7 linked regions of the Rattus norvegicus genome follow. The protein of the gene in region 1 interacts with the protein of each later gene in a biochemical or structural test. Links are inferred from orthologs where the notes say so. Each region holds a gene or a part of one and is shown on either strand. Other genes may lie near its edges. The genes, in order: Mapt, Ppp5c, Mark4, Dyrk1a, Csnk1d, Hsp90aa1 and Camk2a.

Evidence for each region.
Region 2: of the proteins of Mapt (region 1) and Ppp5c, one has a biochemical effect on the other in vitro, tested with the Homo sapiens proteins (3 studies listed by BioGRID). The link is inferred for Rattus norvegicus from reciprocal best matches to the Homo sapiens genes MAPT and PPP5C.
Region 3: of the proteins of Mapt (region 1) and Mark4, one has a biochemical effect on the other in vitro, tested with the Homo sapiens proteins (2 studies listed by BioGRID). The link is inferred for Rattus norvegicus from reciprocal best matches to the Homo sapiens genes MAPT and MARK4.
Region 4: of the proteins of Mapt (region 1) and Dyrk1a, one has a biochemical effect on the other in vitro, tested with the Homo sapiens proteins (2 studies listed by BioGRID). The link is inferred for Rattus norvegicus from reciprocal best matches to the Homo sapiens genes MAPT and DYRK1A.
Region 5: of the proteins of Mapt (region 1) and Csnk1d, one has a biochemical effect on the other in vitro, tested with the Homo sapiens proteins (4 studies listed by BioGRID). The link is inferred for Rattus norvegicus from reciprocal best matches to the Homo sapiens genes MAPT and CSNK1D.
Region 6: the proteins of Mapt (region 1) and Hsp90aa1 form a complex in vitro, tested with the Homo sapiens proteins (3 studies listed by BioGRID, with this or other methods). The link is inferred for Rattus norvegicus from reciprocal best matches to the Homo sapiens genes MAPT and HSP90AA1.
Region 7: of the proteins of Mapt (region 1) and Camk2a, one has a biochemical effect on the other in vitro, tested with the Homo sapiens proteins (2 studies listed by BioGRID). The link is inferred for Rattus norvegicus from reciprocal best matches to the Homo sapiens genes MAPT and CAMK2A.

What each region holds. Positions count from the first base shown.
Region 1 is NC_086028.1:89,725,625-89,729,124, forward strand, and holds part of Mapt (microtubule-associated protein tau), read left to right. Parts: intron 1-1,421; coding exon 1,422-1,503; intron 1,504-2,648; coding exon 2,649-2,761; intron 2,762-3,500. UniProt on the Homo sapiens protein: Promotes microtubule assembly and stability, and might be involved in the establishment and maintenance of neuronal polarity.
Region 2 is NC_086019.1:86,822,006-86,825,505, reverse strand, and holds part of Ppp5c (serine/threonine-protein phosphatase 5), read left to right. Parts: intron 1-683; coding exon 684-805; intron 806-3,003; coding exon 3,004-3,069; intron 3,070-3,354; coding exon 3,355-3,453; intron 3,454-3,500. UniProt on the Homo sapiens protein: Serine/threonine-protein phosphatase that dephosphorylates a myriad of proteins involved in different signaling pathways including the kinases CSNK1E, ASK1/MAP3K5, PRKDC and RAF1, the nuclear receptors NR3C1, PPARG, ESR1 and ESR2, SMAD proteins and TAU/MAPT.
Region 3 is NC_086019.1:88,205,554-88,209,053, reverse strand, and holds part of Mark4 (MAP/microtubule affinity-regulating kinase 4), read left to right. Parts: intron 1-1,332; coding exon 1,333-1,611; intron 1,612-1,744; coding exon of another isoform or gene 1,745-1,824; intron 1,825-2,775; coding exon 2,776-2,820; intron 2,821-3,500. UniProt on the Homo sapiens protein: Serine/threonine-protein kinase. Phosphorylates the microtubule-associated protein MAPT/TAU. Also phosphorylates the microtubule-associated proteins MAP2 and MAP4.
Region 4 is NC_086029.1:47,469,302-47,472,801, forward strand, and holds part of Dyrk1a (dual specificity tyrosine-phosphorylation-regulated kinase 1A), read left to right. Parts: intron 1-601; coding exon 602-726; intron 727-3,500. UniProt on the Homo sapiens protein: Dual-specificity kinase which possesses both serine/threonine and tyrosine kinase activities. Exhibits a substrate preference for proline at position P+1 and arginine at position P-3.
Region 5 is NC_086028.1:106,730,689-106,734,188, reverse strand, and holds part of Csnk1d (casein kinase I isoform delta), read left to right. Parts: exon of another isoform or gene 1-127; coding exon 128-276; exon of another isoform or gene 277-2,576; coding exon 2,577-2,748; exon of another isoform or gene 2,749-3,500. UniProt on the Homo sapiens protein: Essential serine/threonine-protein kinase that regulates diverse cellular growth and survival processes including Wnt signaling, DNA repair and circadian rhythms. It can phosphorylate a large number of proteins.
Region 6 is NC_086024.1:135,526,341-135,530,613, reverse strand, and holds the start of Hsp90aa1 (heat shock protein HSP 90-alpha), read left to right. Parts: upstream 1-1,473; 5' UTR 1,474-1,531; intron 1,532-2,114; coding exon 2,115-2,276; intron 2,277-2,374; coding exon 2,375-2,741; intron 2,742-3,107; coding exon 3,108-3,241; intron 3,242-3,468; coding exon 3,469-3,789; intron 3,790-3,940; coding exon 3,941-4,106; intron 4,107-4,254; coding exon 4,255-4,273. UniProt on the Homo sapiens protein: Molecular chaperone that promotes the maturation, structural maintenance and proper regulation of specific target proteins involved for instance in cell cycle control and signal transduction.
Region 7 is NC_086036.1:56,647,934-56,651,979, forward strand, and holds the start of Camk2a (calcium/calmodulin-dependent protein kinase type II subunit alpha), read left to right. Parts: upstream 1-1,246; 5' UTR 1,247-1,287; coding exon 1,288-1,349; intron 1,350-4,046. UniProt on the Homo sapiens protein: Calcium/calmodulin-dependent protein kinase that functions autonomously after Ca(2+)/calmodulin-binding and autophosphorylation, and is involved in various processes, such as synaptic plasticity, neurotransmitter release and long-term potentiation.

The sequences.
Region 1 (3,500 bases):
ACATTCCTTTCTCCTTTGACCATTCCAGGCTACCTATTCCCCATCTCCTATTCCCCAACACAACCCCTGGTACGACTCTCTAATGACTTTACCTGGGCCAGAGGGGAAGGGGTAGGGCCAGAGGGGAAAGGGGTAGGTCCCTGTAGCATTCCTGTACCTTTTTGGAGGCCCTTGGCTCCTCCTTCATTACCTGCCCCAGAGCTCCTGCTGGCCTCTGGATCTGTTTGCTGAAGGTCCTTGGGATTATCTGCTCCTTGCCCACCCTCTGCAGGGGAAGGCTGACACCCTAGCTCACTGATTTGTGAGGCCACGGCCCTCCTCTTCTGTCAGGTTCATGAGCAGAAAGCGTGTGCGCACGCACACACACACACACACACACACACACACACACACACACACCCCACAGAACACCATCAGCACAGCTAGCTATGAAAACAAGAAGGAGTTATCCTTTGAGACCTCTGTAGCAACCACCTTGCTTTATTGATTCTTGAACATGAGGCCACCCCTCTCTCGGGACAGGAGATGAGACTCCTCACCCCTGGAATGACCATGGTCTGTATGGGAGACCCACAGGACTCAGCAAGTGGCCGCTCATGACTAGCTGTCTAAGCTGTAAAACCACAGATCTGAGAGACTGGCTTTTAGGAGCCCCATCTGCCTGGGTGGTCTCCTTCAGGGTGTCCTGTCAGGGAAGCAGCCACCATTTCCCAGGGCAGGCATTGTTGCTGGGTCACATGAAGGACCCTTGAGCTGGCAGGGCTCCCTGTGTGTCCTGTCTGCTCACTTATGCTTGCTGAGACACTCACTGAAGCTGTGGTTCCTGCTATGTGCCTGCCTTCCGTTGGTGTCGCTTTGCTCTCCTCAGTAGAGGCTGAAGTGCTCAGGAGTCTGTATGTCCAGACACGAACTGGCTCTTACCCTGAGTCATAGAGTCGTTCTAGGTCCTGTCTGCTGACCTAGACCATGGGAGCTTCATGGATGAAGCACACACATCCTCACCGGCTTCTCCTCTGAGTCTCTTCTGAGGAGAAGGTGCAGGGCTGCCTAGGCCCATCACTTCCTCCTCCACTGGGTGTCATCAATTTCATCAATAAAAGGATTTATGTTTTTATATTTAAGTATCCGCTACATAGATACCGTGGTCACATACAAGGACCAGGCACCTCTGCTTTTCCGTGACAGTGTCTTGTGTATCTGGGATTGAAGATGTTTAGGTCTCACAGCTACTTGGTGAGGACCCAGCTCCCTGGGGGATGGAGGTTGGCTGGATTTGGGGAGCATAGTTTCCATCCCGAGTGGGATGTATTCAGGAGCTGATGGGAGCCACTGACAAGTGGTCCATTCGGCTTTGCACTGTTACCCCTGGTAACACAACTTCCTTTGTTCTCTGTCTCTTCCCCATCCTCCTTGACCTGCAGGTGCAAATAGTCTACAAGCCAGTGGACCTGAGCAAGGTGACCTCCAAGTGTGGTTCCTTAGGGAACATCCATCACAAGCCAGGTAGCACTTGAGGGAGGGAGGCTTTGGGGCAGAAGGGTGCTGGCTGGGCTGGTGGGTGCTTCCTAGAGTAGGCCAACCTGGGCAGTGAATGTTAAATGGGAAACTGCTGTGTGGCCTGGGGCCTGGGTTTGCCCCTGCTTCTCAGCCTAGACAAGGGGTAGAAGGAGAGGAGGAACTGGTTTTAGATCCATCCTGTTGCTCTCCTGAAATGCCTGTATAAAAGGGCCAGCCCTGGGGGTTGGGGATTTAGCTCAGTGGTAGAGCGCTTGCCTAGCAAGCCTAAGGCCCTGGGTTCGGTTCCCAGCTCCCGAAAAAAAGAAAAAAAAAAAAAAAAAGGGCCAGCCCTGGGTCTGGTTGGCGTCCTCCAAAGGCTGGCTCTGTCAATATCCCAGCACGGGGGACACTTTGACTGCACCAGCTATAACATGAGAGCTTCTGGGCTGTTGTCTTATCCTCACTGTAAGGTTGTTCGAAGAAAGTACCCTTCCCAGGAAAACAGCAAAGGTCCCTTCCTCCTGCTACCCTCTGGTGTGGTGACCTGAGCCAAAGGGGAGGTTAGGCTCTCTCTCCTTATTGTACATTTAACAGACAGTTCAATCTCAAGGACTTGAGGGGCTGTGGCTTACAATCCTGTACAAAATTCCTAAGAAAATCTCCACAGCTGGAAGGCGTCTGGTTTTAAAATTTAGCGCGCCTTCTCCTGGCCAAGCTTCATCTACCCCTGAACCATCTCAGGAGGAAGATTTTGCAGGGTAAATATCCTCTGTGCACCCTCTCCTTAGAGAAGAGGCAGGTAGTTTGCAAGCACTAACAAGAGCTTCCTGTGGCTAAGTCTCTTTTCTAGATGAGGTAGAGCCCAGGCAACTCTCAGAGAATGGGCTGTTCCTTGGATCACTGGCCCAGCCTGTGTTGGAGTCAGAATGGACGTGTCTCCTGAATGGTGACACATGACCGATCTATCTATCTATCTATCTATCTATCTATCTATCTATCTATCTATCTATCTATCTATCTATCTATCTATCTAATCGAGTCTCCAGCAGCCCCCAAGCCCCCAAGCTCTGGAGGCTGCAAGCTCGTTTAGCATGTGCTAAGTCCCCCAGACCACAGAAGATGACGAGAGACTCATGTGCGTTGTATTCCAGGAGGTGGCCAGGTAGAAGTAAAATCAGAGAAGCTGGACTTCAAGGATAGAGTCCAGTCGAAGATTGGCTCCTTGGATAACATCACCCATGTCCCTGGAGGAGGGAATAAGAAGGTAAGGGGGGGGCAAATGGGAGGTCATATGGGGATGTGAGGGTTAACACAGTGGATGAGACTGGTCCCAGAGCAGTGGTTCTCAATCTGTCCCTTGGAGATAGAATGTCATATCCTGCATGTCAGATATTTACATCACAGTAAATTTACATAACAGTAGCAAGATTACAGTTATGAAGTAGCAATGACATGATTTTATTTATTTTTTAAGATTTTATTTTTATTTATTTATTTATTTATTTATTTATTTATTTTTATTTTATATATGTGAGTATACTGCACTGTCTTCACACACACCAGAAGAGGGCATCAGATCCCATTACAGATGGTCGTGAGCCACCATGAGGTTGCTGGGAATTGAACTCAGGGCCTTGGCAAGAACAATCAGGGCTCTTAATCACTGAGTCATCTTTCCAGCCCAACATAATTTTGTGGCTGGGGAATCACCATGGCATGAGGCACTGTATTAAAGGGACGCAGCATTAGGAGGGTTGTCCTAGAGGGTTCTCTACGGACTATCTGGAATAGATTCTCATCCTCACGTTGTGTACCAAGAACAAGGCAGGAGACTGAAGGCAGCTCTTTCCCACTAGTTACCAGAGAGCTCGAGCAAAGTCGTAATGCTAACTGAGCCTGTGGCCCAGCTGGCAGAGAGGTTGTCCAACATGCACAGAACCCTGGGTCATGCCTCAGACTGCCATCTCATGCTTTCTACTTCCTCTTGGACTCCTGGCTATGGC
Region 2 (3,500 bases), on another chromosome or scaffold:
GAGCCAGGAGTTGATGGAGGAACCAGCTGTATTTGAAGACCTGCCTCCTAAGAATGTGGCAGGAGCTAGCGCATGTCTGTCTGTCTGCCTCCCGGACACACCCACTCAGGGAACTTGGTTCACAAGGGGTTTTATCTAGGAGAGGATGCTACATGTAGGAAGGGGTCTTCATCATTCAGGGTGTGTGCCGTCATCTTTCTTCTGGCCTGAGTATCTTCACAGTGGGCCTTGACCCTCTGGAGCCATGGTGCCCACCGTTCTTTGGATGGGCTTGTGACTGCAGTGTAGCCTAATGCTCCCCGTGCTGTGTGTGCCGATGCACAGAACTAGGGAAGAAGAGTGGCTCACATTCCAATGTCACCCAAAGGTTAACAGGTGCTCTGGCTCTGAATCTGAACAGATTATTTAGCAGTCACCCCTTAGCCTCTGCTAATTGAGTTTAGAATGTGGGGCAAAGGGAGGGGAAACATCTCCCCAAAGGACAGTTGCCAAAGCAGGAAGCCACTGCTTAGAACTGGCCAGAGTCCAGGGATTGCAGAGTTGTGGGCTGATGCTAAGATCAGGAGCACCACAGTACATGGGAAACTTGATTGCCCAATCTCTTACCCCATCCCTGGGGGCCAGGTCCCCTTCCTGCCCCTCCACGGCTGAAGCCCCTAACTAATCTCCTTGTCATACACCAGCCATTGAAGATGAATACAGTGGGCCCAAGCTTGAGGATGGCAAAGTGACAATCACCTTCATGAAAGACCTCATGCAGTGGTACAAGGATCAGAAGAAACTGCACCGGAAGTGCGCCTACCAGGTAACACACCCTCCTGTGCCACACACGCCTAGGACTCGGGAATGCACCTGCCACTGCCAGCCGTCCTAGGACAGGGCAGTGTGCTGGGCACATGCTGAGGGCTACACTGTCCTCATCTAATAACACAGCACTTGGGGGTGTCGGGCTGAGTTTAGAAGACCGACCAGCCTCAGAAGTGAGATCTTGGGAAGGCATGGGAGAGAGGAATTCTTGAAGGGCTTGGCTGGCTTAAGTTGGGGACAGGAGTAAGAGGACGTGCATGGTCAGGACAGGTCTCAGATAAGAGAAGTCATTTCTGTGACAGAGCTAGCCACATGTGTTGCCTCTCCTGTAATGAGGTCACAGCCTGCCAGTGGTCACTGCCTTCCCCTGGTGCTTAGCCCTAACAGGAGCCATTTTTCCTGCCACCAACCTGAGCAGCCCAAGCCACACTACCCCATGGAGGTCGGTGGTGTGAGTCTTTCAGGATTTTTGTACTGGGGCTCCTGGGTGGATTTGTTGGTTTTCTTTGTGAGTGTGATGTTGGCTGTTTGGCTTATTTCCATCCTTTGCGGTGTCCTTGCCTGACCAGAATAGCTGCCCCTGGGTTTATGACACTTATCTTCTCCCCAAGTTTTATTTTTCTTAATGATTAAACCTACAAGGATGTTGGAAGGTGAGCAGTTAACAGCCCACATACTTGGGCTGGAGAGATGGCTCAGTGGTTAAGAGCACTGACTGCTCTTCCAAAGGTCCTGAGTTCAAATCCCAGCAACCACATGGTGGCTCACAACCATCTGTAATGGGATCCGATGCCCTCTTCTGGTGTATCTGAAGACAGCAACAGTGTACTCATGAACATAAAATAAAAAAATCTTAAAAAAACAAAAACAAAAATCTAGCCACATAGTTTTCACAGGTGTGGGGACTCCATTCCTTGCTTTTCCAGGAACAATCAAGAATCAAATGGCTTTATGAACCCAAAGGCTTTCCATAAAACCTAAAACACAGATAAACACACTTGACTTTTCTCAAGGTTATGTTCAGTGTGAGCAAGTTGTACCAACAGATGTCCTGGTATTTTCATTTCTCCTGAAGTCCCCCAAAATATGTTTAAGGTGATTGAGGGGGTTCTTGAGACAAGGTCTTGCTATACATCCCAGGCTGTGCAGGGCATGGTGGTGTGCACACACCTTTGATCCTAGCCTTTGGGAAGGAGAGACAGATGCAACTCTGAGTTCAAGGCCATTCTCATCTCCATAGGGAAGTCTAGACCAGCCAGAGATACATTGTGAGACCCTGTCTGAAAAACCAAAAGAACAAAACAGTCTAGACTGGCTGTAAGCTGCCAGAATTACAGGTGTGTCCGAACACACTCACTTTAGCAGATTCTCAGAATGCCAATACCCACCGCAGGACTGAAGGTTCTCCACCCTTCTCTGCCGTTAGAAAAACCCACCTTTATGACCATGGCCTTTACATGTGTGCAGGTTAACTCTTTATATGTGTGTGCATCCACTCCTGGATGCACCTGCAGATGCCACAGGAGGGCAGACGACAGGATCTTACTCCACTGGAAGCTCAGCACTTCATCTCTGCTGGCTGGCCCACAAGCTCTGAGGAGCTGCCTTCTTTCTGCGCCCTCAATGCTGGAACTGCAGGCCCCTCACAAAAGTGCTGGGGATTTTAACTCGGCTCCTTGCCAAGCAAGTGCTCTTACCCACTAAGCCATCTCCTTGGCTCTAGGCTGGTTCCTTCTATAAGGTTTCCTGTACTGTGAACTCATGATTTTGTTTCCTAATGCTGGCGAATTTTAAAAGATGAACCAAAACCCTTGTGAAGTGATGGTGGTGTTTAGATTGTTTGCCTGTGTGTATATGTGTACACTGAATGTATGCAGTACCCGTGAGGCCAGAAAGGGGTACTGGGTCCTTTGGGACTGAAGATGTAGAAGGTTGTAAGGTACCATGTGGGTGCTGAAAATCAAACCCTGGTCTTCTGAAAGAGCAGCCAATGCTGCTGAGCCATGTCTTAAGCCCCCGATCATGGTATTTAAATGACACTTAGGCCAGATCAGATCACGGCTTGATGGCTACCTCTCTTCCTGTCCCTGGGTAGCACCCAGTAGTCCAGGCCTTCTCAGTAGCTCCTGGACAGCTGAGGCTTTGTTGTACTCCTGCCCCCGGGCAGCCATGCTTACAGCCTGCCCCGTCTTCCAGATCCTAGTGCAGGTGAAGGAAGTCCTCTGCAAGCTGAGCACGCTGGTGGAGACAACGCTGAAAGAGGTGCGCCTTGGACTATGGGTGCAGGGTGGAGGGGTGATCAAGGCAGGGCAAGCAGTCGGGAGGTCCCCCAGCTCCAGACTCAGAAACCCACCTGTGCATCCTTCCCTACTCTCTGTACCTGACACCCCTCCTACTTGTCTGCCTTCCTCGTTGCTGTGTCCCTTACCTTTGTGTCTTGCATGGATTTTCTTGGTCTGTTGTGACCTCTCACCCCTCATTCCCCTCTGCCCCCTCCCCACATCTCTCTCTGGGCCCCTCCCTCTCCGGTGGCCTCTTTTCTTTCAGACAGAGAAGATTACAGTGTGTGGGGACACCCATGGCCAGTTTTATGACCTCCTCAACATATTTGAGCTCAACGGTTTACCCTCAGAGACCAACCCCTATGTATCCTCTATGCTACCCCATGTGGGCCCCACCAGGGAAGAACATAG
Region 3 (3,500 bases), on another chromosome or scaffold:
GGCGTGCGCAAAGCCTTGGATCTGGCCTGTCCTACGCCGGGGAGGTGCGGAGTACCTGTAACGCCGCACTGGACGGTGAATGCAGGAGGAGCAGAAGTTTAAGGCCAACCGGGGCTATGTGAGACCCTGTCTAGTATAAAAGGGTACGGGCTGGAGCTGGTCAGCGGGTAAGAGCACTGGCTGCTCTTACAGACAGCTCAGGTTTAATTCCTAGCACCCACATGGCTGCCATCTCTCTCTCTCAAGTCCAGTCCCAGAACATCCGATGCCCACTTCTGACCTTCAGGCACCAGGTACACATGATCCCAGCCATACGTGTGGGCAAAACACCCATGCACGTAAAAAATATCGTAAAAATATGAAGGGAGAAAATGGGGAGCTTGAGGCGGCTCCACCTGGTCCAGGCATGGCCCCCCACCAAGCTTCTCTGCTCTAACTGGGACGGATGCTAACTGTTCCTGGGTCTCATCAACCTTTACCCAGAGTTTAATCCACAGATGACATTCAATGATAAGGAAATTGTTCAGTAGTTACTAAATAAAAACTAATAAGGATGCTTCATCAAGCAGCTGCCCTCTGGCTGGCCTGTGTCCAGCAGTGGCCTAAATTACTAGCAACTGCATTCTGGGTAGATCCTAGTCCAGAAATGAGGCACAGAGAAGTTAATTAGCTTGTCTAAAGTTACACAGCCAGCGAGTGAAAGAGCAAGGATTCTAGAATCCTTGTCTGTAAGCATTGGAAGATGTGATCTTCACGTTCTAGACAGGGAACAAGGCGAAGCTGCAGAGAAGGCCATGGCTTCAAAATGATGGAGGTTCTGATTTTTGTGACAGAATCCAAGAACAGGTTCCATTGAACTTGCCCATGCAGACCCCTGCTCAGGGTCTGAGACCTCTGTGCCAGCTGCCAATCTCCCAGCAATCTCTGAAGTTAAGCCTAGAAATGGTACAAAGTGCAGGGGGCAACATATTGGATGGTGGCTGGCCACCTGATTTCTTGCAGCAATGCATTCTGGGAAATGTAGTTTCCAGCTGCAAGGCTATGTGTATGACTTCTACTAGCCCTAAGGGTTTGGATACCAGGAGAGAAAGCACAGGTGGATTTAAGGGAGGCCTAGTGGCCTCTGAGATCTGGGAAGGTATATATTGGAGGTCTGTGTTATAGCACGTCACTCTGAAAGTAATCCATCTTGGAAGCTAAACGGTCTGGTTTGGTTAGAACTTGGATGGGAGAATCTGGAGACTGAGCCAGTAAACAATTCGAGGTTCCAAGGATCCATAATGCTCTGACAGCCCTCCGGCCCCACCCTGACTTGTCTTTCTCTGCCCACAGCTCTGGTACCTCGCGGGTGCCCCCTGCCTCACCCTCCAGTCACAGCCTGGCTCCCCCATCGGGAGAGCGGAGCCGCCTGGCTCGGGGCTCCACCATCCGCAGCACCTTCCATGGGGGCCAGGTCCGAGACCGGCGGGCAGGGGGCGGGAGTGGCGGGGGTGTGCAGAATGGACCCCCGGCCTCACCCACGCTGGCCCATGAGGCCGCACCCCTGCCCTCCGGGCGGCCCCGCCCCACCACCAACCTCTTCACCAAGCTGACCTCCAAACTGACCCGAAGGTGAGCTGCACCGGATGTGGGGTATGGGGTGGTGGACGGGCAGGGCCTAACCTTCTTCTCTGCTTCTCCTCCTGCACCTGACCTCTTGGTCCTCTGCACCCCCTGTCACCACTCCCACCTCCTTACCCTGCAGGGTTACCCTCGATCCCTCTAAACGGCAGAACTCTAACCGCTGTGTCTCGGGCGCCTCTCTGCCCCAGGGATCCAAAATCAGTAAGTCCTATCTCCTCTGTTCTCCATGCTCCGCCTGTCCTCTGCATGTCTGACTGTGAACACGCATGTGTGCTACATGTATGTGTCCTTGGAAGGGACCCTGTGGGAACAGCGTCCATGTAGGGGCTGTGGAGTGTCAAAAAGCATATCCCGTTACAGACGGGTGCAGCAGGTTTCAGCTCTACTAAGTGAGGCTGAGCAAACCATTGAGCGTCTCTGGTTCTTCTCTGCACCTCGAAACCAGGGACCACAGAAACTATCTACATGTGACCGTGGCAGCTCAGGTCACTGCTGTGGGGAATTCTTTTGAGTGTGTTCCTTAGACATCTACTTGTCATCTGGTATGACTGTTACACATTGATAGCCTCAGTGTGCCTAGCATGGCTAGCAAAATGTAAAATATGTCTACCCTCACATAGCCAACCTTCTAATCGAGGACGTAGGCCACAAGTCAGTGGAGTACTAACGGGAAAAGTCCTGCAGTCTCAGGCTGAGGCAGGAGGCTCTCAAGGTCATGGCTAGGCAGGAAGGATATGGAAAGAATTTTTCAAAAAGAGTAAAGCAGACAGAGTGTCTGAGGAAGGGAAGGGCGTGGCTCAGCTGTAAATCCCAGGCCTAGGATCTCCCAGAGAGGGGCTGGGGCGTGGCTCAGCAGTTGAAGACCCCTCCGTCACTGGATGCGTCTGCCTATGTGGGAGTGTTGGTGCCTTTTCTGTGTAGGTGTGTCTGCCTGCCCCTTTTCTCATCTTCCAATCCTTCAGTATCTCTCCTCCAACCTGCACTAACCATTTCTGTCTGGACCGCACTCTGGATGGAAGGGATCAAATCCGGACTACAGCTCTGTTGGGAGAGCGGAGCTGCAGCGGGGGCTGCCTAGAGTCATGGCAGTGGGGAGGGGGAGGGGGTTGCTAAGGCCCAGATTTACATTTTGTTCCTTCCCCACTCTGCTAGGGTCACAGACGAACCTGAGAGAATCGGGGGACCTGAGGTCACAAGGTGAGTGAGGGTCTCACCCTGCCTGCCTCTGCACACCCTGTCTGGTGCTCTAAACATAACATGGTGGAATATTCTAGAACCTTTTCACCTGTACTGAGACTCATTTCTGCTACATTGCGCACCTTCCCATAGCTGTCAGTGATTTGAGCCCTGTCCTGCCCACTGCCCAGCGTTCCTCCCATGCCTGTAGCACTTCTTATTCATTGACTCGAGGTGTGGGCGAACCTAGCCACGGGGACCCGCCCGCGTGTAAATGCTCTTCAAAGTCACTCCTACTAGGTTCTGCCAAAAGAAGCAGTAGCCTCTGTAGAAGCAAATAGGTGTCACTGCGTTGTAGTGAAAACTTATCCAAGCTGGCTCTGGCGGGATGCACAGGTCTGCCAGTCCTGTGTGGAGATCTGAGGCTGAAGGAAAGCAGGTTCAAAGCCTGCCAAGGCTAAAAGAGCTCAAGGCCAGCCTTAGGCAAATTAGTAAAATAATCCTATCTCAGATTTGGGATGAGGGGGAAGAGGGCTGTGATGTACAGAGCCCCTGCCTAGAATCCCCCAGCGAGGGAGGGGCTGGGGGCGTGGCTCAGTGGTAGAGCCCCTGCCTAGAATCCCCCAGTGAGGGAGGGGCTGGGGGCGTGGCTCAGTTGTGGAGCCCCTGCCTAGAATCCCCCAGTGAGGGGCTGGGGGTGT
Region 4 (3,500 bases), on another chromosome or scaffold:
TAAATGAGCACGTGATCACTATCTGCCTGACAGGTAGCAACAAAGCTACTTATAGCCAAGTAAATGGACTTGAATGTCCATTTAAATGGACTCTGTCCTTGAATTTTTGCTTTTCTGAGGAGAACCTGGCTGTATAACAGGTGATGTAGGAAGACATCTAATATTCCAGTAGCTTTGTGGTATATTTCAAGTTAATACCGTAGCTTGAAAGTTTTGTGTATCTGCATATGTGCTGTGTAGTACATGCACGTATGTGTGCATATGTACACACCTAAGGTCACATGTAGGGGCATGACACTGTGTGTCTTCCTTATTACTTGGAAATAGGAGTCCCACTGCACCAGAGTCCTGCTGTTGTATCCAGGCTGCCTGGCCAGTGAGTTCTTGGGAGTGGCACCCCCTTCCCCAAGTCCTGGGGTTCATTCAGGCCAGGTTTTTATATGAATGCTGGAGACCCACACACAGGTCCAAGCACTTGCAGAGCAAGGACTCTTACCTGAATGTCCTTTTTACCCTGAGTGACAGTAACGGCAGTCTTAGATACTAACTTGAGCAGAATTAGCTTTAAACTCACAAGTTATTCCGTGTCCTGATGTTAAAGGTGGATCCTCGGGAACGAGCAACAGTGGGAGAGCCAGGTCGGATCCGACGCACCAGCATCGGCACAGTGGCGGGCACTTCGCTGCTGCTGTCCAGGCCATGGACTGTGAGACACATAGTCCCCAGGTGAGCGTCCCAGGCTCCTGCCACGACCCCACTAGCTTTGGCTGTATGAGCTGCCATGGGCTGTCAGGGTGACTATGTGTGTGTCCTTCGTTCTAAAGGCATGGAGTGTCCTTACTGCTTAGCAAATAAAACTCCGCTCCTTGTTAGGAGTGAGAGCACACATTGGGTAAACACGCTCTCCACTGTCCTCCCAGGTGTCCTCCACTGTCCCTCCACTGTCCCTCCACTGTCCCTCCACTGTCCTCCCAGGTGTCCTCCACTGTCCCTCCACTGTCCCTCCACTGTCCTCCACTGCCCTCCACTGCCCTCCACTGCCCTCCACTGTCCTCCACTGTCCCCCCAGGTGTCCCCAGGTTTATCTTCTCACTTGCCACAGCGGCTTCTGGATGTCAGCAGTTTGCTCCCTGCCTCTCAGTAGGTACTGAGACCTCTAGGTGCACCGTGAGTTTACTCTGTGAGCTGTGCAGTCTGGACCCTGTCGTTAGCCTCTCGGGGCTTCTAGCATTCCTCATCCTGCTTCTGAATCAGTTTGTGATGCACTTTTTTTTTTCTTCTTTTTCTTTTTTCTTTTTTTCGGAGCTGGGGACCGAACCCAGGGCCTTGTGCTTGCTAGGCAAGCGCTCTACCACTGAGCTAAATCCCCAGCCCCTGTGATGCATTTTTAACCTTGGAAGTATTTGCTTTGCTTTTTAAACTTACTGACGTTAATAAGTGTAATAATAAAGTAATGTTAAGGTTTGTGTGGAGCATGTAGGAGGGTAGAACTGTAGAGATGCCATCTTAGCTATGTCTCATTGCCATGGTAAAGACGCAGGTAGAAACAGTGTCAGGATGACAGGGTGGACTCTGGCTCTCAGTTCAAAAGGAAATCATACATTATGTCAGGGAAGACGTGACAGCAGGCAGGGGAAGCAGGGTGGCAGGGTCAGGAAGCCTCTGCAAGCAAGAAAGAGGAAATGGGGCTGCGCTATAGAGCCTCGAGGCCTACCCCATAGAGCCTGGAGCCCTACCCCATTAGAGCTTCAAGACCTGCCCCATAGGCCAGCCTCCTCCAGTAGAGGCTTCACCCCTGTCACTTGCTGCCAGCTGGGGACCAAGCATTCAAACACAGGAAGGAGGTGTTTACTGTTCAGACAAGAACACAGAACCTTAATGAGATAACGCCCCTCTGCACTCTGTGCTACATTTTGATTCTTTGTTCGAGAGGACAGTCGGTTATTTGTAGAGTAAGGAAAATCTGTGCTAGATTGGTGGTCATTCCTTTGTTGTGATTGGGCTGATTGGTTCTTGTGGATAAACTATCATACTGTTCTGTCCTCAGTCTTCTTATTCACCAGAGGCAACATTGCTCAGAGAATCCCTTCTTCCTGTTGTCTGTGAAATGCTTCCAACTTCTCCACACTCTTCCTGACTCTCCCGCTGTGGTACTCATCATACAGGCATTCTGTGGTGGTGGCGATGCCTGTGCACCTGCTTTCTCACAGCCTGCCTGTCTCTGCTGTCGCTGGGCTTCTTGTTGAAGGCCAGGCCCATGTCCCCTCCTTCCTTCATGAGCTCTGGCTCCTTGTGTTTCTAGTATACAGCCAATTTCCCTCTAGTTCTTGTCTCCCTCACCTCCCTGCAGTTTCTTGAGTTTCCCCCTGGTCTTCAGCAGCCCTCAGCTCAGTGCTCTCATGCTTGCCCTCATTGTCATCTGGCCGTGTTTGCAAGTGTTGACTCAGTCACGTGCATTGAATTGCTCTACTTTTTCTGGTAGTTCGTGTCTTTGGTTCTCCATTTCTTTGTTCCCCCCTCCCTTAGCTGTCTCTTTTTGAGGGTGTTCCTGTCTTCTATGCTTTGAGATGACCTTGCATACTTCCTTCTTGGTCTCACCCCTTATTGTCAGTCATCGCAGTCACCATTTTTAAAGCATTGCTTCCTGCTTACCCCTGACTGCACTTAACTCCTGAGACCCCTGGGTTGCGCTGGGCTTTCTGTAAATATCATTCTACAAGTCTTAGCAGTAAGAAGACTCTTCTACTATTAGCGGTTGTTTTATAACAATGGCTCTAACCTCACTCATTTGCTGTCATAAATTTAGGGCCAGGGAGTTAGTCTTCGGGTTAGTGAAGCGTGACTTCTGATTTTATGCATATATAGTCAGCCTTCCCACTATGAGAGCTATGTGTGCCCTGTCTTTCTATGAAGGAGACCGGCTGCTCTTTCCTGTGTCCTGTCTAAGTGCTCGTCAGCCTGAGGCACCTCTGCAGACATGTGAACTTTGCTACTCCAGTCCGTCTGTTTCCCTGCTTTATGTAGCCCTTGTTTCCCTTGTACCTGGAACTAACATGTAGATTCCTGTGATAGCAATGCCTTTGTGCTCTGTCCCCTAACTAGGCCTTTCTTTATCCTCTGCACTCAAGTGCTCAGATCTTTTACTCTGAGGGATGTGCCATGCTGGGTCTCCCTCCCCAGCTTTCCTAATTCTTCCTGCGTTGGCTTAGTGGCACAGCTCATACTTAGTAAAGTGTTTTGGGCCTTCCTTTGTTCCTCTCGTTCATGTGTGTATGGTCTATGTACTGTAAACATACATAGTCATTCCCAGAATAGCACAGCTATATGTTCCCACCTACCTTACAGAGGTCACTGATCTGTTGGGCAAGCCCAGCTGGCATTTCTGCTTGTGATCATTGTCCTCCTGCCTTCAAGAAGCTGGAGTTACAGGCGTGCTGCACTGTGCCCAGCACAGTCTTTTCTTTTTGAGTTAAATTGTTTTTAGTTGTTTATTTATGTTG
Region 5 (3,500 bases), about 17 Mb from region 1:
CTAAATATGACTAGTCTTCATATCTCACCTTTAATGTCTTTAGTGTATGGCACTGTGGGAGGTGAACTGGATGAATTTGGCAACAGTTGGTAGTTCCGGGCTAGCTTTGAGTTTCTTGTTTCTATAGCTGAATTTGCCACATACCTGAATTTCTGCCGTTCCTTACGTTTTGATGACAAACCTGACTACTCCTACCTGAGACAGCTCTTCAGAAATCTGTTCCATCGCCAGGGCTTCTCCTACGACTATGTGTTCGACTGGAACATGCTCAAATTTGTAAGTAGAATTGCTAGAGCAGGGGATGACATCAGCCTGGTCCTCAGGGCGCTGGCACTGGTGGCTGGGCTGGGTCTGTATGTAAAGCTATGCTATCTGTGCAAGCCTCATGTTTACAAGGCACAGTAGAATTGTAAAAGCCAAACACACTTGGTAGAAACTGGGCCTGCAGACCACTTTGCCTGAGGTTCGGAGTACTGAGAAGGAAGATGCTGAATAAGGCAAAAACTGCTATAGCATTTGGGGCACAGCAGTTAAGGCCACTTGCTGCTTTTGCAAAGGACCTGGGTTCAGTTCTCAGTACAACTAGGTGATCCAGTTTCCCTTCATACCCTCTTCTGGCTTCTGTGGTTACTGTATGCAGGTAATACATTTACTTAATGCAGCCAAAACATGCTAAATTAGAAAAATCTCTGACATTTATGGATGTCCATACGAAGAAGCCCAGTAAGCCATGATGAAGGTCTGCTCAGAGTCAGCTCCTTCTGGATTGGTGAGTCCTTCTTAGGGAAAGGCTTGCCTGCTGTTCTTCCTCTATTTTCATCCTCTCTTTAATTTTTTTTTTTTTTTTTTTTTTTTTTGGTTCTTTTTTTCGGAGCTGGGGACCGAACCCAGGGCCTTGCGCTTCCTAGGTAAGCGCTCTACCACTGAGCTAAATCCTCAGCCCTCTCTTTAATTTTTAGGGGAGTAAAGCTACTTCTGAAATTATTTTTTAAGGTGTGTGTGTGCGTATGCTTGTGTTGTCAAGGTCAGAAGAGGTCAGATTCCCAGAAACTGGAGTTAGAAGCTATTGTGAGCCTCTGTGGGTGCTGGGAACCAAACCCAGGTCCTCTGCAAGGGCAGCAAGTGCTCTTACTCATGAACTTTGGCTTTCCAGGTGCTGCAAGTAATACTGTCCACCAATATTCTAATTATATAACGAATTTTAAGAACTTTGTGGATTCGGCTACCTATGGTGGCATGGCATGGTGGTCTGGGCTAGTAGGAAGCATAGTAGTAGTCTTAAGCCCTGCCCCTCTTTGTCCTCCAGCACCCTTACTCCATCCCAAATCTAGTGTATACCGCATAGGCCTCAGAAGAGCCTCTGGGTTAAAGTGCCTGGTGTTCTGTCAGAATGTGATCCTGTGATCATTCAGACATTGCTGCTGCTAAAATTCAAGGCTTTGTGAAACTTTCGTGTCTATTTTAGTTAAATTTATTCTTGGACTAGCCATGGTAGCTCACACCTTTAATTTCAGCATTCAGAGGGCAAAGGCAGGCAGATCTCTGTAAACGTGATACCAGCCTCGTCTATATAGTGAGTTTCAAGCCAGCCAGGGCTACAAAATGAAACTCAATAAAATAGACAAAGACTAAATTTAAAAAAAATTCTTGTTTGGGCTAAGCATGGTTGTTAGCTTGAAGCCAGTCTTGGGCTGCAAAGCAAGATTCTGTTTCAGTCAGTTACTATTGTAATTTGAAGTAGAAATTATAATCTTTGTAGGTAATGTATCTAGTCTGAGTGCATACCTTGTCAACTGCACTATGTATGTCCCTGCTCATAGAGGGCACTGTGAACTAGAACTGCCTGCTGGGCCTCGTGCTACTGTGTGTATGTAGACGAACCTAAGCTGAAGGTGACAACCCTCGGCTGTAAGATGCTCGCAAGATGCCTGGACCTTCCGCCATAGTGGGGCTTCAAAAGACAACTAAGGCCAATAAGTTAGGTGGCACAGGGCAGTGCTTGCAGACCCCTCTGACAGTGCTAAGACTGATAACCTGACTCCTGTCCTTGCCATTGGCCTGTCATAGAAAGGCTGGCATTTTCACAGTGTCTGCATTCTACCTTGCTCTCCCCCCTCCTAGGCAATCTCCTTTTCCTTCCACAATGCACTCGCATGCCAACACTGCTAGGAAGTGATTAAGATGACAAGTTGTACATGTGAGTTCCAGTATGGTAGGGGTGCAGAGAGACTGTGGCCTTCGTGGGTATTGTGTAGGTAATCATTTCTGTGGGAGCATGGTCTTTCTGGTTTCACTGTTTGGTGTGGGTGATTTCAAAGGGCAGTCTTGTCCCAAGAGCTGCCTTTTTTTTTTTTTTTTAATATTTATTTCTTTTATACATGCAAGTACACGTTCTGAACCACCAGGTGGTTATTGAAAATTGAACTCGGGACCTCTGGAAAATCAGTCAGTGCTCTTTTTTTTTTTTTTTTTTTTCCCAGAGCTGGGGACCTAGTCAGTGCTCCTAAAAAGACAAAACAAAACATCAAAACATCATGGCGACTTTCCTCCTGTTCATTCTAATCTTTCCTCATTAGGGTGCCAGCCGGGCTGCAGATGATGCTGAGCGGGAACGCCGGGACCGAGAAGAACGATTAAGACACTCCCGGAATCCAGCCACTCGTGGCCTCCCTTCTACAGCTTCCGGCCGTCTGCGGGGAACCCAGGAAGTGGCTCCCCCAACGCCCCTTACCCCTACCTCACATACGGGTAAGCACATCTCTTAGTGTTCTTCACCAAACTAGGACCTCTGTTTAATGTGTTGATGAATTGCTAACCACACCAGTATGTGGCCTCAAAAAGATTCTGGGTTAATCAGTTGAGGGTTGTGTCCCTACTTCATTCTGAAGAGTAGGTAGGACAGGGACATAGGACATGATGTTACCTTTAGACATGGCATGGTAACCCCAAAATTTGGGAAGAGGGCAGGGTGGCTTTCTGTGAACTTAAGGCCAGCCTGGTCTACATAGTGAGATCTTGTCTCAAAGGAAAGAAAGAAGTAAGAGTTGACTTTCATGGGACTGGAGAGATCACTCAGTGGTTAAGAGCTCTAGCTGTGGGGTTGGGGATTTAGCTCAGTGGTAGAGCGCTTGCCTAGCAAGCGCAAGGCCCTGGGTTCGGTCCCCAGCTCCGAAAAAAAAAAAAAAAAAAAAGGAAAGAAAAAAAAGAAAAAAATAAAAAAAGGAGCTCTATCTGTTCTTCCAGAGAACTTGGATTTATTTCCTAACACCCATAAGTAAGTTTTTACATTGAATCTCTAGTTCCAGGGGAACCAACATCATCTTCTGGATTTCTTGGACACATGGTACACAGAGATGTGTAGGGAAAACATCCACACACATAAATAATTTTTTAAAAGTTTAGCTCTCATAATATAGATATTCTCATAAATCTTTGAATACTCAGGGCGGACATGTATATTGCTAAACATTGGAGCCTTAAAATGCATTCATCTACTAGGG
Region 6 (4,273 bases), on another chromosome or scaffold:
GCCTGCGTGCATGTATGTTTGCGTGAGGGTGTCAGAGATTAGAATTACCGTTTTGAGCTGCCACGTGGTCATTGGGAATTGAACCTGGGTCCAGTCTATGCTTTAACCACTGAGCCATCTCTCCAGCCCTTTTCTTTCGAATCTTAATGAGTGATCGTTTTCGTCAGCAGGAAAAGATGCGGAAATAGTGGGTGGGAGTAACATAAAGGAAAGGGAAATGGAAGCCAAACGGAAGTCTATTAAAGCCTGTATTAAACAAGGAAACTATCTTTTGGGTCACGTTAATCGCCCAAAGTAACGTCATGACACCCTAAGAAGGTGCCTCAAAAACCAGGGTAGTGTGTTGTGTATGAGCGTTTTGACTGCGTGTGTCTGTGCACCATGTGTGCTCCTGGTGCCGCAGAGGCCAGAGGGGACTGTATTTTCTGACTGTAGTTACTGGTGCTTGTGAGCTGCCTTAACGTGCGAGTTTGGTATCACTAACTGCTCCTAGCTGACTCTTTAGCCCTTTACACTTATTTTCACATTGTGCGAGTGTGTGTGCGAGTGTGTGTGTGTGTGTGTGCACATGAGTGTCACAGGCGCTGAGGGTTAGCTCCCCACTCCCAACCCCCGCTATCTGGGTGGCAGATATCAAACCCAAGCACCTCTACTGGATGAAGCCATCTTTCTGGGCCCCCGTAATTACAATAAGTTAAGGTAGCACAAATTTGACACTAAAACCCTAACAACGCCCAAGTTTGAGGGTCATGGGTTTTGGTCAAAGAGAAACCCCCAAGCACTATGGACAGATTTGGAAGATCCACCGTGTACTACCCACAGTAAGGCTTCAGGACAGGCTCCAGAGGGGACAGCCCTAAAATTCAGACAGTGGTACCACGCGCCAGACCGCGCAACAAGCAGAACCCGGGCTCGGGATACGCCCCACCCATCAGGTGGAAGCCAGGAGTCAGACTCGCGTCCCGCCGGGAGTCTACGTCCCCAATGGGAGCCCGAAGACAGGGGGATCTTCTCGCCTCAGACACCTAACGCGCCGCAGAGGGCACTGAGGTTCACACAGCAACGCAGCCTCACATGGGAACATCCCTTTCGCAGACCCCACCCCCACCCCCCGAGAAGAGGAGCCCTAGAGTGCTCACATGGCGGCCTCTAGCGCATGCGCTGGTCACCTTGTCCGCGCTCCACGAGAGGCGGCGCGCGCGCGGCCCGGGAAGGCGCCAGGCCCGCCGAGAATCCCGGACTGCGCATGTCCAGAGCACCTGGCTGTGGAGGAGGGGCTCGCGTTCGTTCTCCGCGCGGGTTCTGCGCGCTCCTGGTGGAGGGGCGGGGCCCGTCCAGTGCGCAGGCGCAGGCGCGCGGCCGAGGCGACGGTTGGGGAGGGTTCTTCCGGAAGGTTCGGGAGGCTTCTGGAAAAAGCGCCGCGCGCTGGGCGGGCCCGCCTCTATATAAGGCAGGCGCGGGGGGCGGCGCGCCAGTTGCTTCAGTGTCCCGGTGCGGTTAGTCACGTTTCGTGCGTGCTCATTCTGCCAAGGTGAGTGTCCTCGCAGAGGGGCTTAGTGGGGGATTGGGGAGAGAGGTTGACGGATGTAGACGCGGCGGCGGGGTCGGGGCCGCCATCCGAGCTCCCTCAGCCCGCAGAGGTGGGCGGCCATGCCTTCAGACCCTAGGCCCCAGGCGGCCGCTACGCCCCAGGCCCAGGATGCGGTGATGGCCGCCGAGGAGGAGCGGCGGCGGAGGGTCGGGGGCGAGGCGAACGTTCGGCTCTGGCCTTTGCCTAGGCCTCCCCGGCTCTCGCCGGTGCTCCTGAGGCGCGGGCGGAGGAGGGAGGCGCCATAGCGGCGGCTTGTGGGGGGAGGGTGGCCGTTAGGAACGGCGTGCGTGGAGCCGCTTGGGTCCGAACGTCCTCCCGGAGGCGCGCACATGCGCCTCGTAATTACCGCATTCTGAAATGAGGTCATCCCTTTGTCATCCACCCCCCCCCTCGGCCTCTTCTATTCCGTCCCCGTCTCAGACCGAAATAGAGTTCCTAAGGAATTTCTATAGGAAAGGGGTAGGTAGGCATTAGGACGCCTGCAGACATTCTGTGAGGCTTTAACACCGTCCCGTGTTCCCAGATGCCTGAGGAAACCCAGACCCAAGACCAACCAATGGAGGAAGAGGAGGTCGAAACCTTTGCCTTTCAGGCAGAAATTGCCCAGTTAATGTCCTTGATCATCAACACTTTCTACTCGAACAAAGAGATCTTTCTGAGGGAGCTCATTTCCAACTCCTCAGACGTGAGTATATCACTTGAAGAATTGAATGGATGTTGGTTTCAGTAAAAATTTCACCTTGAGGCTTGTCTGTGTGCGTGACGTTTGTCTTCTCTTAATAGGCTCTGGATAAGATCAGATACGAGAGCTTGACCGACCCTAGTAAACTGGACTCGGGGAAGGAGCTGCACATTAATCTCATTCCCAACAAGCAAGACCGAACCCTCACTATTGTGGATACTGGCATTGGAATGACCAAGGCTGACTTGATCAATAACCTTGGCACTATTGCCAAGTCAGGCACCAAAGCCTTCATGGAGGCTTTGCAGGCTGGTGCAGATATCTCTATGATTGGCCAGTTTGGTGTTGGTTTTTACTCTGCGTATTTGGTTGCTGAGAAAGTGACTGTCATCACCAAGCATAATGATGACGAGCAGTACGCCTGGGAGTCCTCAGCTGGAGGATCCTTCACTGTGAGGACAGACACAGGTAGGCAGAGGCCAGGAGTGCATTCAGAGTGCAGTGGGTGTCTGGTTATTTTAGGTCAAGTGTTTAAGAGGGTTAACTGGGAGAATTGAAGAGTTTGGAGCAGTCTGGGATAGTCTTAGTCCTAAGCCCTCCAACAAAATTGTTAATCTCAAGGGAGCTTCAAGGACTGGGTGGTTGGAGGAAATGTGGAAAACGTATGGCTATTTGCTCAGTAGCAAGGAAGTTAAAGCTCTGGAGACTGCATTTGTGTGGAAAGTTAGCTGCTAGGAAACACTGCACGTTTTTATCTCCGCTCCAACAAGCACTGGGAGAAGACTTTGAATATTAGCCATTTGAATTCATAGTCCATAACCTTTTCTTTTTCAGGTGAACCAATGGGTCGTGGAACAAAGGTTATCTTGCATCTAAAAGAAGACCAAACTGAGTATTTGGAGGAAAGGAGAATAAAAGAAATTGTGAAGAAACATTCTCAGTTTATTGGCTACCCCATTACTCTCTTTGTAAGTTTTTCTTTCAACTGCAGGGTAAATTGATATGATAACTGAGACAACTGAGCATGGTCTTAGCATTCTGTAAATAATAAGCCTGTTTGAAACAAGTTTGGGTCTGTGCTCTGGAGGACTGTTGAGAAATTATAGAAAACACTGATGAGTTTCTTAATTATGGACATTTATTTCTTAGATCTTAAATAATTTGTGACACAGTAATGAAGTGACTTTTTTTTAAGGTGGAGAAGGAACGTGACAAGGAAGTCAGTGATGATGAGGCTGAAGAAAAGGAAGAGAAAGAGGAAGAGAAAGAAAAAGAAGAAAAGGAGTCTGATGACAAGCCTGAAATAGAAGATGTTGGTTCTGATGAAGAAGAAGAAGAGAAGAAGGATGGTGACAAGAAGAAAAAGAAGAAGATAAAGGAAAAGTACATTGATCAAGAAGAACTCAACAAAACAAAGCCGATCTGGACCAGAAATCCTGATGACATTACGAATGAAGAATACGGAGAGTTCTACAAGAGCTTAACCAACGACTGGGAAGAACATTTGGCAGTAAAGGTGAGTGACTTAAAGCAGGTTTTCGGGTTGACTTAACGTTAACCTTTACACCCACTCAACCTATAGAAGTGCTTCTAAGTGTAACATAGCTCAGTGGAAAAGTTGATTCATTTTTGTCCATGGCAGTTAAAGGTATTTCATTTTATTGCAGCATTTTTCTGTTGAAGGACAATTAGAATTCCGGGCTCTTCTTTTTGTCCCAAGACGCGCTCCTTTTGATCTATTTGAAAACAGAAAGAAAAAGAACAACATCAAGTTGTATGTTCGCAGAGTTTTTATCATGGATAACTGTGAGGAGTTAATCCCCGAGTATCTGAGTAAGTACGGATAGAAAGAATAAGCACTATTGGCAGGGGTTTTGCATAACTTGTTTGAGGCCCTGGGCTCAGTCCTCTCGACCAGCCAAAAATGATTCCTTAGTTTTCGGAATGATTAAGGTAGGTGTCTTGTTCTTTTCTTCCACAGATTTCATCAGAGGGGTGGT
Region 7 (4,046 bases), on another chromosome or scaffold:
AGATTACTAGTCTTAAATTCCATGCCTTGGGGGCGTGATTTGTGGCTGCCAGTGTGGTTGATGTACACAAGTGAACTCATTAGGGAAGAGGACCAGTGAGTTTGGGAAAGAAGACTCCAGGGCAGGGTATATCCATGCCACTGGCCCAGCCCTGGGGGTGGGGGAGGGGGTTGAGTCCGGCCATGCTCACCTCATTATAGTTGCCTCTCCCCAGTCCTACCTTGATGGGAAGTACAAGCAAAAACTGGGACATGAGCCCCAGGAGACCAAGTCTTCATGGTCCCTCTGGGAGGATGGGTGGGGAGAGCTTGTGCAAGAGGCCTCAGGAGGGGCCCTTCCTGCACGGTGCTGGCAGGTAGGGGTGAGAAAGCAGACAGAGCCGTTCCTTCAGAGTTCTGGGTTTGCTCTGTACTTTTCCTCAAGCTAAGGTGACAGTGTGATACACACAGTGGCTAAAAAGCAGAGAGAGAGAGAGAGAGAGAGAGAGAGAGAGAGAGAGAGAGAGAGCAGGAGAGAAATAGGGACAGAGGCTGAGGCCAAGTCAACCAGACCAATTCCCAGAGGGAGCAGAGAAACCATTACAGAGACTACAAGGGGGAAGGGAAGGAGAAAGATGAATTAGCCATCCTTCCCCCTGTAAACCTTAGAACCCAGCTGTTGCCAGGGCAACGGGGCAATACCTGTCTCTCCAGAGGAGATGAAGTTGCCAGGGTAACTACATCCTGTCTTTCTCAAGGACCATCCCAGAATGTGGCACCCACTAGCTGTTACCATAGCAACTGCCTCTTTGCCCCACTTAATCCCATCCCGTCTGTTAAAAGGGCCCTATAGTTGGAGGTGGGGGAGGTAGGAAGAGAAGATCACTTGTGGACTAAGTTTGTTCACATCCCCTTCTCCAACCCCCTCAGTACATCACCCTGGGAGAACAAGGTCCACTTGCTTCTGGGCCCACACAGTCCTGCAGTATTGTGTATATAAGGCCAGGGCAACGGAGGAGCAGGTTTTGAAGTGAAAGGCAGGCAGGTGTTGGGGAGGCAGTTACCGGGGCAACGGGAACAGGGCGTTTCGGAGGTGGTTGCCATGGGGACCTGGATGCTGACGAAGGCTCGCGAGGCTGTGAGCAGCCACAGTGCCCTGCTCAGAAGCCCCAAGCTCGTCAATCAAGCTGGTTCTCCATTTGCACTCAGGAGCACGGGCAGGCGAGTGGCCCCTAGTTCTGGGAGCAGAGTATCAGCATCCCAGTCCTAGTCCCGAGCCTAAAGCCTCGCCTGCCTGCCCAGTGCCAGGATGGCTACCATCACCTGCACCCGATTCACGGAAGAGTACCAGCTCTTCGAGGAACTGGGAAAGTGAGTCACACCTCGGGCAGTCCTAGAGGGCATGGGGATCAGCCTCTTGGGCAGGGGGGCGTGTGCCTATGTGACTAAAGCTCTCCCGTGCATGCAGACGGAGGCGTGCAGCATGATTTGGAAGCACTGTGTATGCATAGGCTGTCCAGAGTTAGGCGTTGACACATTTATGTGCCCAGTCAGCCTGGTTGTGTGTGTGTGTGTGTGTGTGTGTGTGTGTGTGTGTGTGTGTTGGAAAGGAAGCAGATTGATATTGATGGTATTTGCACACACCTATGCATACAAGTACACACGACCTGGGTTCACAAAGATTTTCAGAAACTTGGGGTTTGAAAGGGATTTTCCCACTTGGCTGGGTCTGAGCTGGAATCTTTTCTGTAGTTGTACTTAGAAACCTCCAGTGACGGAGAGACTTCACCCCCGCCCCCTCCCCCCTTCCATTCCCCCTACTTGGAGATCCTGACTTTAGACTCTATGCAGGGCAGCTAGCTTTTCTCTGACACATTCCTTTCTGCTTTCCCAGCTTCCTTCCAGGAGCGAGAGCTTCAGTGCTGAAGGAGTTAACGTAAAGCAATCGAGGTGTTGGGAGGAGGGGAAGGACAGTCAGCCAGCTGGGGGTGCCACTGTGGCTGTGTGCACAAAAACTGTGGTCCTTTGGCAAAGTTGCCTTTGGTGTTATACCTCTATACCTTGGGAGGCTGCGAGGAGAGAGGTTCCCTCCAGCAGAGCAGCAGGCAACAGACATAAGAGGTTTCTAGATGTTCCCAGCTGGGTTGTGGGGGTCCTGGGATGGATCAGGAGTTGGGGAGCAGTTTGGCAGAGTGCCCCACAGATGCATAAGTGATCCTACCAGCCCTGTTTGGTTCCTGCTGTAGCAGCAGGAACATGAGACAAGGGGCTCTGTGAGCAGATGCGCCAGTGTGAGGTCCTGCAGGTACAGTTATGTTGAGGAGAGGCTATATATGAAATCTGTGGGGAGCAGATGGAGTTGTATAAGAGCTGACACTGGGCACACTGCGAACTAAAAGGGCAAACACTGGTGCAAGTAAAACATGAAGAGGTGTGTGTGTGTGTATGTGTGTGTGTATGTGTGTGTGTGTGATATTTGTATGGCAAGCCCAAAAATGTCAGTGTGCACTGCAAGGTTGCATGCATGCAATTATGCAAGGGTTGCTCTTGGCTAGGTGGTGTTGCAGCAAAGGTTTGAACATGCATCTGTGTGCACATGTGTGGCAGGTCAGAGATGGGTACTCTCAGTGAACATCGTGTGTGTGTGTGTGTGTGTGTGTGTGTGTGTGTGTATGTGTGTGTGTAAGGTCACAGATGTGAAATGTGAACAGAATGTTCTTGAGGGTGCATGTGACTTGAGGAATATGTAAAGAAAGCTCTCTCTCTCTCTCTCTCTCTCTCTCTCTGTGTGTGTGTGTGTGTGTGTGTGTGGCCTAGGCTCATGTGGGTGTGTGGGTGTTGTAGGCATGTGTGAGCTTATGCTGTTGCCTGCATATGTGTGGGAGGTGGACCTATGGCTGTGTATAAGCATAGCCCCTGAACACATTCACACACAGAGAGAGAGAGAGAGACAGAGAGACAGAGAGACAGAGAGACAGAAAGAGAGAGACAGAGACAGAGAGAGAGACAGACAGAGAGACAGAGAGAGACAGAGTCAGAGATAGAGATAGAGAGATAGAGAGAGACAGAGACCAACATCAAGACCAAGACTGAGACGAGACCAAGACCTACACATATCCTAGCTCCCTTGTGCAAATGTGTATTCATATTTGCCTACAGACTTCCAGCTATTCTGCACGTCTTTGCGTTGGAGGCAGGGGTGGGGGCAGGAATACAGTCTTTAGGTCTGCTCAGGAGGACTGTCTCTTAAAGTTTATTGGGAGACCCCTTTCCAGAGCATGTCTGGTATTCACTTGGAACCTAAGAATTTCTTGAATAGACAGGAGCTGCCTTTCAGGGGCCACCGAGGCTGGCTCAGCCAGGAGTGCGTCATAGAACATAAGGGAAGGAGTTAAGATGGGACTTCAGGGATCACAGTGACAGAGAACTGCTCCTTTGCCCTGAGGAGAAATGGGGATCATTAGGATTGGGCTCTGTGGGCTGACTTGGCCTTCTCAGCTCCTCTGCCTTCCTGGATACTCAGAGGTGTCAGAGAAGGGGCAGAGGAAAACCGAGGGTGGCAGACACCAGGTCTTGTCCAATCAACTTCAGACCTCCTCCTTCCAGAACTATTGGTGCTTTTAACCTCTTTTTAGGTCACTTATTCCTCCAGGATTCAGAGGAAAGTCTAAATAGACATTCCCCAGGAAAACGTATAAACCTATAAAATGCTGCTTGCGGTGTCAGAGCTTGTGGGACCTCAGGAAACGGTGCATGACCCTGTGCTTGAAGAGGCTTGGGTGAAGAGGAAGGGGCTGTAGTGGGCTGGCTTCTGCCTGGGCTGTCTGTGTGACACAGGCCAGGGTACCCTATGAAGGGTGAACCCTGTGTCTTTTGCAGGGAGGGGCTGCCCCACATGACCCTTAGCTCTGTGACATTGGGCAGGCTGCCACTCTTTCTGCCCTGCAAGCCGGAGACTCAGAAGGCTGGTCGAATTATGTAGATGACCTGTGAAGACGTAACCTCAAGCTTGGCACGCAGTAGGCATCTGGCTGGCCGTTGCCGCTGGGGTGGCTGTTGTCCTCAAGG